2 linked regions of the Saccharomyces cerevisiae S288C genome follow. The gene in region 2 interacts genetically with the main gene of each other region. Each region holds a gene or a part of one and is shown on either strand. Other genes may lie near its edges.

Evidence for each region. A genetic interaction does not mean that the proteins touch.
Region 1: mutations in ARV1 (region 2) and CNB1 together harm fitness more than expected from each alone (negative genetic interaction), as found in Saccharomyces cerevisiae (4 studies listed by BioGRID).

Annotation. Positions count from the first base shown.
Region 1 is NC_001143.9:81,006-86,178, forward strand, and holds CNB1 (calcineurin regulatory subunit B), read left to right. Parts: upstream 1-1,941; coding exon 1,942-1,993; intron 1,994-2,069; coding exon 2,070-2,545; downstream 2,546-5,173. Other genes in the region: DPH2 (2-(3-amino-3-carboxypropyl)histidine synthase), read left to right, coding at 30-1,634; HYM1 (Hym1p), read left to right, coding at 3,699-4,898.
Region 2 is NC_001144.5:620,834-628,571, forward strand, and holds ARV1 (sterol homeostasis protein ARV1), read right to left. Parts: upstream 3,051-7,738; coding exon 2,085-3,050; downstream 1-2,084. Other genes in the region: CSC1 (Csc1p), read left to right, coding at 1-1,988; putative signal sequence-binding GTPase GPN3, read left to right, coding at 3,370-4,188; methionine aminopeptidase MAP1, read right to left, coding at 4,335-5,498; CDD1 (cytidine deaminase), read right to left, coding at 5,669-6,097; palmitoyltransferase ERF2, read left to right, coding at 6,285-7,364. UniProt on the Saccharomyces cerevisiae protein: Mediator of sterol homeostasis involved in sterol uptake, trafficking and distribution into membranes. Also regulates the sphingolipid metabolism. Required for growth during anaerobiosis and sterol uptake.

The DNA.
Region 1 (5,173 bases), on a different chromosome or scaffold from region 2:
GCGTTGAAAGATCGTGCAAAGGTTGAAAAATGGAAGTTGCACCGGCCTTATCGACTACTCAGTCGGACGTGGCGTTTCAGAAGGTGGAGACACATGAAATTGACAGGTCTTCATACTTGGGGCCATGTTATAATAGCGATGAGCTTATGCAACTTATCTCGGCTTATTACAATGTCGAGCCTCTCGTGGGTTATCTGGAACAGCACCCGGAGTACCAAAACGTGACCTTGCAGTTTCCTGACGATTTAATCAAGGACTCCTCGTTGATAGTAAGGCTGCTGCAATCGAAATTTCCCCATGGGAAGATAAAGTTTTGGGTTTTAGCTGACACAGCGTACAGTGCATGCTGTGTAGACGAGGTCGCTGCTGAACACGTACATGCAGAAGTCGTGGTACATTTTGGTGACGCATGTTTGAACGCCATCCAAAACTTGCCCGTGGTTTACTCATTCGGAACTCCATTTTTGGATTTGGCACTGGTGGTGGAGAACTTTCAGAGGGCATTCCCAGACTTATCCTCCAAAATTTGTTTGATGGCAAACGCACCCTTCTCTAAGCATTTGTCACAGCTGTACAATATTTTGAAGGGCGACCTGCACTACACAAATATCATATATTCCCAAGTGAACACCTCTGCGGTAGAAGAAAAATTCGTAACCATACTTGACACCTTTCACGTTCCCGAAGACGTAGACCAGGTGGGTGTGTTCGAAAAAAATAGCGTGCTGTTTGGTCAGCACGACAAAGCAGACAACATCTCGCCCGAGGACTATCATCTTTTCCATTTGACCACCCCACAGGATCCGAGATTACTGTATTTGTCTACTGTGTTTCAATCTGTTCATATTTTCGATCCGGCTTTACCTGGCATGGTAACGGGGCCATTTCCCTCTCTAATGAGGCGTTACAAGTACATGCATGTGGCAAGAACAGCGGGATGTATAGGTATTCTGGTCAACACGCTGTCGCTACGTAATACAAGAGAAACTATCAACGAGCTGGTCAAGCTTATCAAAACTCGTGAGAAAAAACACTATTTATTTGTTGTCGGAAAGCCAAATGTGGCCAAGCTAGCAAACTTTGAAGATATTGATATTTGGTGCATTCTCGGTTGTAGCCAAAGCGGTATCATCGTTGATCAATTCAACGAGTTTTACAAGCCCATTATTACACCTTATGAATTAAACTTGGCCTTGAGCGAAGAGGTCACATGGACCGGGAAATGGGTTGTGGACTTCAGAGACGCCATTGATGAAATCGAGCAGAATTTGGGCGGACAAGATACCATCTCTGCCAGCACAACTTCCGATGAACCGGAGTTTGATGTAGTTAGGGGAAGATATACTAGCACATCAAGACCACTGCGAGCGCTAACGCACCTGGAGTTAGAGGCGGCCGACGACGACGATTCCAAACAACTGACTACAAGACATACCGCCTCAGGTGCCGTCATTAAAGGTACTGTATCCACTTCAGCATCAGCACTGCAGAATCGTTCGTGGAAAGGTCTAGGAAGCGATTTCGACTCTACTGAGGTTGATAATACTGGAGCGGATATCGAAGAAGGTATTTCCGGTGTCGCACGTGGTTATGGATTTGATCGCGAAGACGCTATGAAAAAGGAAAACAAATGACTCTTATAATTTGTTTCCCTCGACTTCTCTATTTAAATCCAAGATTTTAACTAATAAACTATTTAATAATAAAACAATTAACTCTTTATATGGAAGCCTTGGAAATTAGCCGCCAAAATGGGATATACATTCCGTGCGAAGTGACCGCGTGGAAGGCCGGGTATCATCTTAAAAATCACTAGTTTCTTTTTTAGCGGAATGCAATAAAGGTGCTTTGTGCTGGTGTGGTTTACACGGAACATCTAGTAGCTAAAACTTGGTAACTCAATGGTGATCAGAATCCATAGAAGCATTTTTATTTCTTAAAATGGGTGCTGCTCCTTCCAAAATTGTGGATGGTCTTTTAGAAGATACAAATTGTATGTACACTTCGGAGTGAGGAAAAGAAAGAAAGGGGAAATTAACCGATTTTACTAACACTGACACTTTGAACAGTTGATAGAGATGAAATTGAAAGGTTAAGGAAGAGATTCATGAAATTAGATAGAGATAGCTCAGGGTCTATTGATAAAAATGAATTTATGAGCATTCCTGGCGTTTCGTCAAACCCTCTTGCTGGACGTATAATGGAGGTTTTCGATGCTGATAATAGTGGGGACGTGGATTTTCAAGAGTTCATCACAGGATTATCCATTTTCAGTGGGCGTGGGTCCAAGGACGAAAAGTTAAGATTCGCCTTCAAAATCTACGACATTGACAAGGACGGTTTCATATCCAATGGTGAGTTGTTCATCGTGTTGAAGATTATGGTAGGTTCTAATCTGGACGATGAACAGCTGCAACAGATAGTAGATAGGACGATAGTGGAAAACGATAGCGACGGCGACGGACGTTTAAGTTTCGAGGAGTTTAAGAATGCTATCGAAACCACAGAAGTGGCCAAGAGTCTGACATTGCAATACGATGTGTAAGACTAGGGGACACTTCATTCATTTATGGTATGCCAATATTTTTAAGAAAAGAAGAATAATACGCGATATTGTTTTTTAAGGAAGGAACGCACACTCGCCCAGTTAGAGTGCTGATGATATATACATATATATATGTATATGTAACAAACAATAAGAAAGCAATGATACAACATAGAGATGAGAGAGAGCATATATGTCAGCGACGAGATATACCAAGATGGAAGCTGATCTCATGTAATAACTGCGGGGTGTACTTTGATAATTTTTGGGATTCCATTGTTATTAATAGCTTTGATATCAGACATACAGAATACCAGAGATTTTCCTCAAAAATATGGCAATGCACAAAGGGGGATCAATAGTTATATAAATTAAGATTATTACTTCTTCTTTGTTTTATGTGTTGTTATTCACTATCCCACTGCATTATCAATCCTTACATATCAGCTTCCGTTAAACCCGATGACTATCTCTCAATCATCATACTATCTTCTTACACCGTATATGATAATTACCAGCAATACTAATGCTAGGAGACAGACCATCTTTGATTCCTATTCCAATAAAGTTAAACTGTGATATTGGTTTATTGGATAAGTTCATATCCTAAAACGTGTTGACAACACTTCGGGAGTTTCCAGTAAGTAAAATTTGTATGGAGGGTTGGCCGAGTGGTCTAAGGCGGCAGACTTAAGATCTGTTGGACGGTTGTCCGCGCGAGTTCGAACCTCGCATCCTTCAGTAATTTTTTTTTTTAATTTATTTTTGTGTTGCAAGCGTTGATCCTTTCCATTATGCAGCCATAAGAGGAGGCTGGATATGAATTATTTATTACCAATATAAGGAGCATGTACCGTTGATTTTGAAGAGCCAATTGCTCCAAATTTTGGATTTTGTGTTCGAAAAAGGGAAGATTGCTCCAAACGCAAATAAGGAGGAAACCCGCTGATTGCACTCTTGGAAAAATAAAAATAAAAAGTGGTCTCAGAATTGTTTCAAAAGTGGCACTGACACAATATTTACAGGCGTTGATAGCTTCTTGTTTTAACAATACGATTTAATCTCGGAGTAGTTAAGCCAAAGAATACGTGTTATCCGTAAGAGGCTTATTGCACGTAATCCCCAGTATAAATTATCCGCAAATCGAAGACAAATGTTTAAGAAATACAAAAATCAAGACTTGGACATGGCATTTTGGTGGAAGAAAAACCCCAAGACCCCTTCCGATTATGCCAGGTTGATCATCGAACAACTAAATAAATTCAGCTCACCCTCGCTGACTCAGGATAACAAACGAAAGGTACAAGAAGAGTGCACAAAATATCTAATTGGCACTAAACATTTTATTGTCGGTGATACGGATCCTCACCCAACTCCGGAAGCCATTGACGAGCTTTATACTGCCATGCATCGTGCCGACGTGTTCTATGAACTGCTACTTCATTTTGTGGATTTGGAATTCGAAGCAAGGAGAGAATGCATGCTTATATTCTCTATATGCCTTGGATACTCTAAGGATAATAAATTCGTCACAGTAGATTATTTAGTCTCGCAACCAAAGACCATATCTTTAATGTTGAGGACTGCGGAAGTTGCTCTACAACAAAAGGGTTGCCAAGATATCTTTTTAACGGTAGGGAATATGATTATTGAATGTATCAAATACGAACAACTTTGTAGGATTATATTAAAGGACCCTCAACTATGGAAATTCTTTGAGTTTGCGAAACTGGGTAATTTCGAAATCAGTACGGAATCTTTACAAATATTAAGTGCCGCATTTACTGCACATCCTAAATTAGTGTCTAAGGAATTCTTCAGTAATGAGATTAATATCATAAGATTCATTAAATGTATTAACAAGTTAATGGCTCATGGAAGCTACGTAACGAAAAGGCAGAGCACTAAACTGTTGGCCTCATTAATTGTGATAAGATCTAACAACGCGTTGATGAATATATATATCAACTCCCCAGAAAACTTAAAGCTCATAATGACTTTAATGACTGACAAATCTAAAAACTTACAACTTGAAGCTTTCAACGTATTCAAGGTGATGGTAGCAAACCCAAGGAAGTCAAAACCTGTTTTTGACATTCTTGTTAAAAACAGAGATAAACTATTGACGTATTTTAAAACTTTCGGTTTAGATTCTCAGGATTCTACTTTTCTTGATGAAAGAGAATTCATCGTTCAAGAAATTGATTCCTTGCCGCGTATAATTTCGTCCACAACAGAAGTTTCTAATAATAATGCATCCTCAAGTAACGTCGCCAGTATAACTTCTCCATCATCAGTAATGAACAATCAATCATCCATCTTAACACATTCAACTTCACCTGATTCAAGATAACTATAAAACTTGGTTCACTTTATAAAAAATGGAAAGTTCTCAGGCAGTGGGTCGTGACATGAATATTCAAAAGTAAAATTATATATAGGAAAGTGTTTATTTGCATAAAAAGGGAAAAATAGTTCAGACTTTTGTATTTTTACGTATTTATACAAAAAAAGGTTGGTACCGGAGGCTGAGGAAGCCAGTACAGTTGGATCCGGTACATGGAATTGAGCAATCAACCGTAAATATGAGCGCTTTCTCAAGATATTAAATTATTATAAAACAATTTA
Region 2 (7,738 bases):
CTATTTTTTGTTTCTTCTCTGTGTGCGTTATATCTCCAGTAAGATATCATTTTACTGGAAAAATTGATGACGGCAACGATGATGATGACAGTGAAAGTTCTTTAATACATCTGGTAAAAAGAATTGTGGAGGGAAGTGGCGATGGTGACAATCATTCAGCTCCCGAACGTACAAATGTGTACCTCTGGATGTATGTTCTCTTCACATATTTCTTCACCTTCATAGCAATTAAAATGGCAGTTGCGGAAACAAAGCACGTCGTAAGTACTAGGCAAGCTTATCTTGGGAAGCAAAATACGATTACTGATAGAACGATAAGGCTCTCAGGCATCCCGATAGAGCTTCGTGATTCGGAAGCCTTAAAGACCAGAATTGAACAATTAAAAATCGGCACCGTTTCATCAATCACTATTTGTCGAGAGTGGGGTCCTTTGAACAAGCTATTTCATTGTCGGAAGAAAATACTCAAAAACCTGGAATTAAAATATTCAGAATGTCCAAGGGAGCTCCGTACTCGACAACCATATTCGGAGAACTATCATTTATTGGGAAACGAGCAATCAGGCGCAGTTACACATGGAGAAAATGTTCCATCAAGCAATAATAATGACGAGGATACTATACTATATTCTCAAATTTCTCTTGGAGAGAGACCAAAAATGAAAATTGGATATCGTGGTATCTTTGGGAAGGAAGTAGATGCCATAGAGTACCTGGAGCAGCAATTAAAATTTATTGATGCTGAAATTATTGAAGCGAGGAAACAACACTACTCCGCAACACCTACGGCATTCGTTACGATGGATTCTGTTGCTAATGCGCAAATGGCAGCTCAGGCGGTATTAGATCCTAGAGTACATTACTTCATAACCAGATTGGCTCCTGCACCTCACGATATCAAGTGGGATCATGTTTGTCTTTCTAGAAAGGACCGGTTAACAAAAGTTTATTCTACTACCGTATTTATAGGCCTTTCAAGTTTGTTTTTAGTCATTCCTGTATCATACTTAGCCACATTGCTAAATTTGAAAACACTTTCGAAATTCTGGCCAAGCGTAGGGCAGCTACTAAAAGATCACCAGTGGGCCGCTAACATTGTAACGGGGCTATTACCAACCTATCTCTTCACATTGCTTAACTTTGGAATCCCCTATTTTTACGAGTATTTGACTTCTTATCAAGGATTGGTATCATACAGCGAAGAGGAAATCTCACTTGTTTCAAAAAATTTCTTTTATATTTTTGTCAACCTTTTCTTAGTTTTCACATTGGCAGGTACAGCATCTAATTACTGGGCGTACCTCAGCGATACCACCAAAATTGCTTATCAACTTGCTACATCTGTGAAGGAGTTCTCCTTATTCTATGTCGATTTGATTATATTGCAAGGTATTGGTATGTTCCCGTTTAAGTTGTTATTAGTTGGTAGTTTGATCGGCTTTCCTCTAGTGAAAATCAAGGCTAAGACACCTAGGCAACGGAATGAACTTTACAATCCACCGATATTTAACTTTGGACTACAATTACCACAGCCAATTCTGATTTTGATTATAACGTTGATCTACAGTGTAATGAGCACGAAAATTTTGACTTCAGGGCTGGCGTACTTTATTATTGGGTTTTACGTCTATAAATATCAATTGATTTTTGCCACAGATCATTTGCCCCATTCTACAGGAAAAGTATGGCCATTAATTTTTAGAAGAATCATCGTTGGATTGCTATTGTTTCAATTAACAATGACAGGAACACTGGCAGGATTCGAAGGAGGATGGGTTTTGTCATCTTGCCTTTTCCCGCTTCCAGTAGTGACATTATGTTTCCTATATGATTTCGAGAAGAACTATTTGCCGTTGTCAAAATATATCGCATTGAGTTCAATTCGCGAGTACGAAAGAGACAATTCTACGGTGAATTCTGCCAATGAGGAAGAGTCGTATGCATACCCTTACGCTGTGAGTGAATTAGAGGGTCCGATGTTGGATTGAAATCCCAAGGTGCTATTTCTATATTTATATATTTTGTTGTGAAAATGCCAAAATAAGATTTTTGATACAAGTAATACTGGATATTTTTTTATTTGCTTATAACAATAAATAAGTTCCTGACTTCTGTAGTAGTAGTATAAACTCCTGATGTATTAAATTCTTAATAACTGAAAAGTTAAACTTTGCCACGAAAACTATAAGTATTGGCTTAACCATGAAATATCGTAATAAAGACACACTTATAAAAATCTTTATGATATTCCAATAGGAAAGATTAGTTACAATCTTCAACGATTCAATAATATAGAGATTAGCTACCCACTTAATGATACTCATCGAAATTAGAGTATCATAAGGCCATATCAACATCAATATCGGAAAAATTTTGGCACCGTACGATAATAAGATCGTATATGATATGACATCCTTTGAAGAAACGGAATAGTGCTTCCAATGCAACTTTTTCAGTATGAAATACTGGGTAAAGGTGTGGAATAAAGAAACGTCAAGAATACAATAACTTGCAAAGTAAAGATATTGTATTGGTGGGCTCCAGGTAAACACTTTACTTGTAATGGTATTGCGCATGATTGCCGAGTCCCATTTGAAGCTCTCTGGTAATTTTTTTGAAAGCATGATGAGCTTACCATCATTATTGTTACGGTTCAAATAGTAGATGTATTTACTCTCCTCAGTAACCCAAGTTAAATAAATCTCGAATGATAATAGTAGAAGCCAAAGGCGATTTAACCGGTCATATTTACAAAACCAGTTCTTTACGTTAAATAACAAAGCTTGCGTATAGTCACGCAAACACTGGCAATCATTTAGCGCTTTTCTTTTCGGATATTTTGAGAGATGCAATTCCAAAGCATTGAATACCAAGTGTCTATATGCACCTGCTTTTAATAGAAGCAAATCAATGAATAACAGGACATTATCTATCTCAACATATTTGTCTACTGTCTCTTGGCAATATGGACAATCTGTCAGCTGAATGTGGTCATTCGAGTACACTGTATAAAGGGAATCTACGGGCCGCATGCACGTTATGCAAATCATCGTTTATCACAGCTAATATCTACTTTTTGATGCGCTTCATCCGTTCACTGACGCACCAAACCTTCCTTCTATGCAATGACAAGAATTTCTCAGCTTGATTTATGCCATTGATGTTTCTGAATCATCAATTGTTCACATAGGGCTATTCAATTTGGCCCGCTGTCCCTAAACTGAAAAAATACTAAGAAAAATTTTGCAAAAAATCTAAAATGATGAGGTGAAAGATCAAAAAAGAAAGATCAATAATTAAGAGGTTGGCAAGTCATCCTGATCGTGAAAAAAACTTAACAAGTACAAATAGAGTAATCAGCATTGGAAAATGTCTCGCGTTGGTGTCATGGTATTAGGACCTGCAGGTGCGGGGAAAAGCACATTTTGTAATTCCATTATATCACATATGCAAACTGTAGGACGAAGAGCTCATATTGTAAATTTAGACCCTGCCGCAGAAGCTACCAAGTATGAATTTACTATTGACATTAGAGATTTAATTTCCTTAGATGATGTCATGGAAGAAATGGATTTGGGCCCCAATGGTGCGCTAATATATTGCTTCGAATATCTTTTGAAAAATCTAGACTGGCTTGACGAAGAGATCGGGGATTTCAACGATGAATATTTAATCTTTGACTGTCCCGGTCAAATTGAACTCTACACGCATATCCCTGTCTTACCGAACATAGTGCGCCATTTAACTCAACAACTGAATTTCAACCTTTGCGCCACATATCTTTTGGAAGCGCCATTTGTGATAGATAGCTCAAAATTTTTTAGCGGTGCACTATCTGCTATGTCTGCGATGATTCTATTGGAACTACCCCATATCAATGTGTTGAGCAAACTAGACTTGATAAAAGGCGACATCAATAAGAAAAAACTGAAAAGATTTTTGAATCCCGATGCAATGTTATTAATGGAAACGGAAGGAATGAATCAAGCATCCAACCCTAAATTTCTAAGACTGAACCAGTGCATAGCCAACCTCGTCGATGATTTCGGTATGGTTCAATTTTTACCTTTGGAATCTAATAATCCTGACAGTATAGAAACCATATTATCGTATGTCGATGATATAACACAATGGGCAGAAGGACAAGAACAGAAAGAGCCTAACGACCAAATAGATGTCGAAGAATAGTTATAGAGAAAATTATGTACGCTTGATTCATATAAAAAGAGGTAAAAAAAAAAAATAGCTTCTCATAATAACCAATTCGGACTCGGGAAAGTACAAGTTCAAGTTTTTTATTGGTTTCTATATGTATAAGATAAAAATACCTAGATCTATTTAATTCTCTGTCTTGGGCCACCTGGTGATTTCTTATTCCTGGCTGTTAGGATTTCAACACCATGTTCGGTAACCAACAGTGTATGTTCAAATTGAGCACTCAGTTTACCGTCTTGGGTGGTAGAAGTCCAGTCATCAGGCCAGGTCATATCCTTCCAAGTACCTTCATTAATCATAGGTTCGATGGTGAAAACCATACCTGGTTTCATAACACCAGGTGTTCTATTCTTGGCGTAGTGGGGAATATTTGGGGAACAATGGAAAAATTCACCAACACCATGTCCACAATAAGTTCTTACTACACTGCACTTATTTTCGGTAGCGTGTTTTTCAATATGATCACCTAACTCTTGGAAGGTGGTACCTGGCTTACACATTTTAATGGCTAGTTTCAAACATTCTCTTGAGGTCTCAGTAGTATTAAGAGCTTCCTTAGAAATGTTTTCGCCGACATAATATGTCTCATTCAAGTCTGCATGATAACCTTGGTAGTATAAGGAAACATCTAAATTGACAATATCACCTTCCTTCAAGACAGTTTTATCGGGCACACCGTGACAAATAACTTCATTGACAGAGGTACAAAGCGATTTAGGAAAGTTGTAATAATTAAGAGGGGAAGGGTAGGCACCTCTCTTAATTGTTTCATTGTGGACGATTTCATCTAATTCATCTGTAGTGATGCCTGGTCTGACATGGGCAGCGGCAATATCAAGAACTTCTCTACCCAACATACATGCCTTTCTAATCTTCTTAATTTGATCTTTCTTGTATATAGGGATGTTGTTAAGTCTATCATTTCTTTGTTCACTGACTGGTAGCCCATTAGCGGCCCAGTCCGGTTTAGGAATATCTTCAGGGACATACCTTCTTGGGGTAAGTGGATATGAAGCCTTCACTTTACCAGAATATTTGAATTTTGGGAAAGGATCATAAGCACCTTCCAAGCCGTCCTTAGCATTGTGCAAAGCTTTGTGAGCTTTGTAGTTGTTTTCATAACAGCTTGTGTCGCAGAAAATGGAAACGATGCCTTGTTTTAGACAAACAGGGCATTTCATTTGGGACGAAGTTTCTCTACCACATTGCAAACCGGAGCAATATATCTTGGTAGGATGAGAAGCCTGATCGGAGGTAGTAACTGTTGTAGTTGCAGTGCTCATTATACAATTTTTTTGCTTATTTTTTTCTTGCTAGGAATATACACAATAGCGTTCTTGGGATGAATAATAATAATATCAGTTTTTCTTCTTTATATGAAAAATGAAAAAAAAAAAAAATAAGTAAAAAATTTTCGCTTTCTTTTCGGGGAGCAGCCAAATAAAGATTGCTGCTAGTTTAAATGAGATGGACCAAAAGCCATGGGCAGCAGTTCTCCCATTGTCATGACTTTAGAACGAGAACCTGTGGAATTAAGCATGACTATTGGAAAGTCCTTGACCACAAATTCATTGATAAACTGCCTGCAAACGCCGCAAGGGGAAACACACTGGTCCTCAGAATCGCCACAAATGACCATGCATTTCCATCCTGAGCGATGGCCTGCCATTAGAACTTGTATCATAGCAGATCGTTCTGCACATATACAATTACTGTAGCTTGCATTCTCGACATTAGCACCAGTGAAGATAACATCGTTATTTGTTAATATGGAACAACCGACACGGAAGTGAGAATAGGGGCTATAGGAGAGTTCACACGCCTTCAGTGCCGCCCTTTTTAAGGCTTCCAGTTGTCTGTCTTCTATGCCACCTACTTTCATTACCTTATTTCTCTGCTTGAGATTCTCTGTTTGGTTTTCCTAGTTTCTTGTACATAAACAGTTTGTGTTTATTTTGTCAAACTACTCGGAAATTGGCGAGCAGCGCCTTATCAAGATTACAGTTTGCAAATATAAAAATGTAAAGGAAAGAAAGCGTAAGGTAACAAGAAGAGAAACGGGGAAGATAATGGCCTTGGTCTCTAGAAGGTCGACAAGATCGGAAAGCACCTCAATAACAAAGGAAGAGCATACAGGAGAAGGTTCATTGACGAAGTTGTTCTTCCGATGGCTTGTTACCTTGGAGGGTGATCAGGATATAAACGATGGAAAAGGTTATATATCGTTACCGAATGTCTCGAATTATATATTCTTCCTTGGTGGCAGGTTCAGGACAGTAAAGGGCGCCAAACCGTTGTGGTTAGGTGTTCTCCTTGCTATTGTATGTCCCATGGTTCTCTTCTCCATATTTGAGGCTCACAAATTGTGGCATACCCAAAATGGTTATAAAGTGCTGGTCATTTTCTTCTATTATTTTTGGGTCATAACGCTAGCATCCTTTATCAGAACAGCCACTAGTGATCCTGGCGTTCTTCCGAGAAATATTCATTTAAGTCAACTAAGAAATAATTATCAGATCCCGCAAGAATATTACAACTTGATAACACTACCAACACATTCTTCAATTTCAAAAGACATTACTATCAAGTATTGTCCATCATGTAGGATATGGAGACCACCTCGGTCTTCTCACTGTTCCACATGTAACGTCTGCGTAATGGTTCATGACCACCATTGCATATGGGTCAATAATTGCATAGGAAAAAGGAACTACCGGTTCTTTTTAATATTCCTGTTAGGTGCAATACTTTCGTCCGTCATATTATTAACTAATTGTGCCATCCATATTGCACGGGAATCAGGGGGGCCTCGCGATTGTCCCGTTGCAATATTGTTACTTTGCTATGCAGGGCTAACCTTATGGTATCCGGCAATACTGTTTACTTATCACATATTTATGGCAGGTAATCAGCAAACAACAAGGGAATTTTTGAAAGGTATTGGATCGAAAAAAAACCCTGTATTCCATCGTGTGGTCAAGGAGGAAAACATATATAATAAGGGGTCCTTTTTGAAAAATATGGGTCACTTGATGTTAGAACCAAGGGGCCCAAGCTTTGTAAGTGCCAGAAAGCCACATGAAGCTGGAGATTGGAGATTTATGGATTTATCGCCAGCACACAGCTTTGAAAAAATACAGAAAATATAAGGAAGTATAGATATAAAGAACTCAGCGACACAGTAGTACGTAAAATATAAAAAGGTTACTGAAAGGAGTGAATTCCGCCATAGTATAGGTTGAGTATACGCAAATAAACGTTGGAAATTGGCTAGAATGTTAAAAAAAACATTCATTAAAAGGTTCTTTTCGTATAACTTTTACAACAAATAAGTGGTTGTTTGGCCGAGCGGTCTAAGGCGCCTGATTCAAGAAAATATCTTGACTGCAGTTAACTGTAGGAATACTCAGGTATCGTAAGATGCAAGAGTTCGAATCTCTTAGCAACCATTATTTTTGCCTTCCGAAAATTTTGAAGCTACATATTAGCACTCTTCTTCAGATGTCAGACAACGTGCAGCATC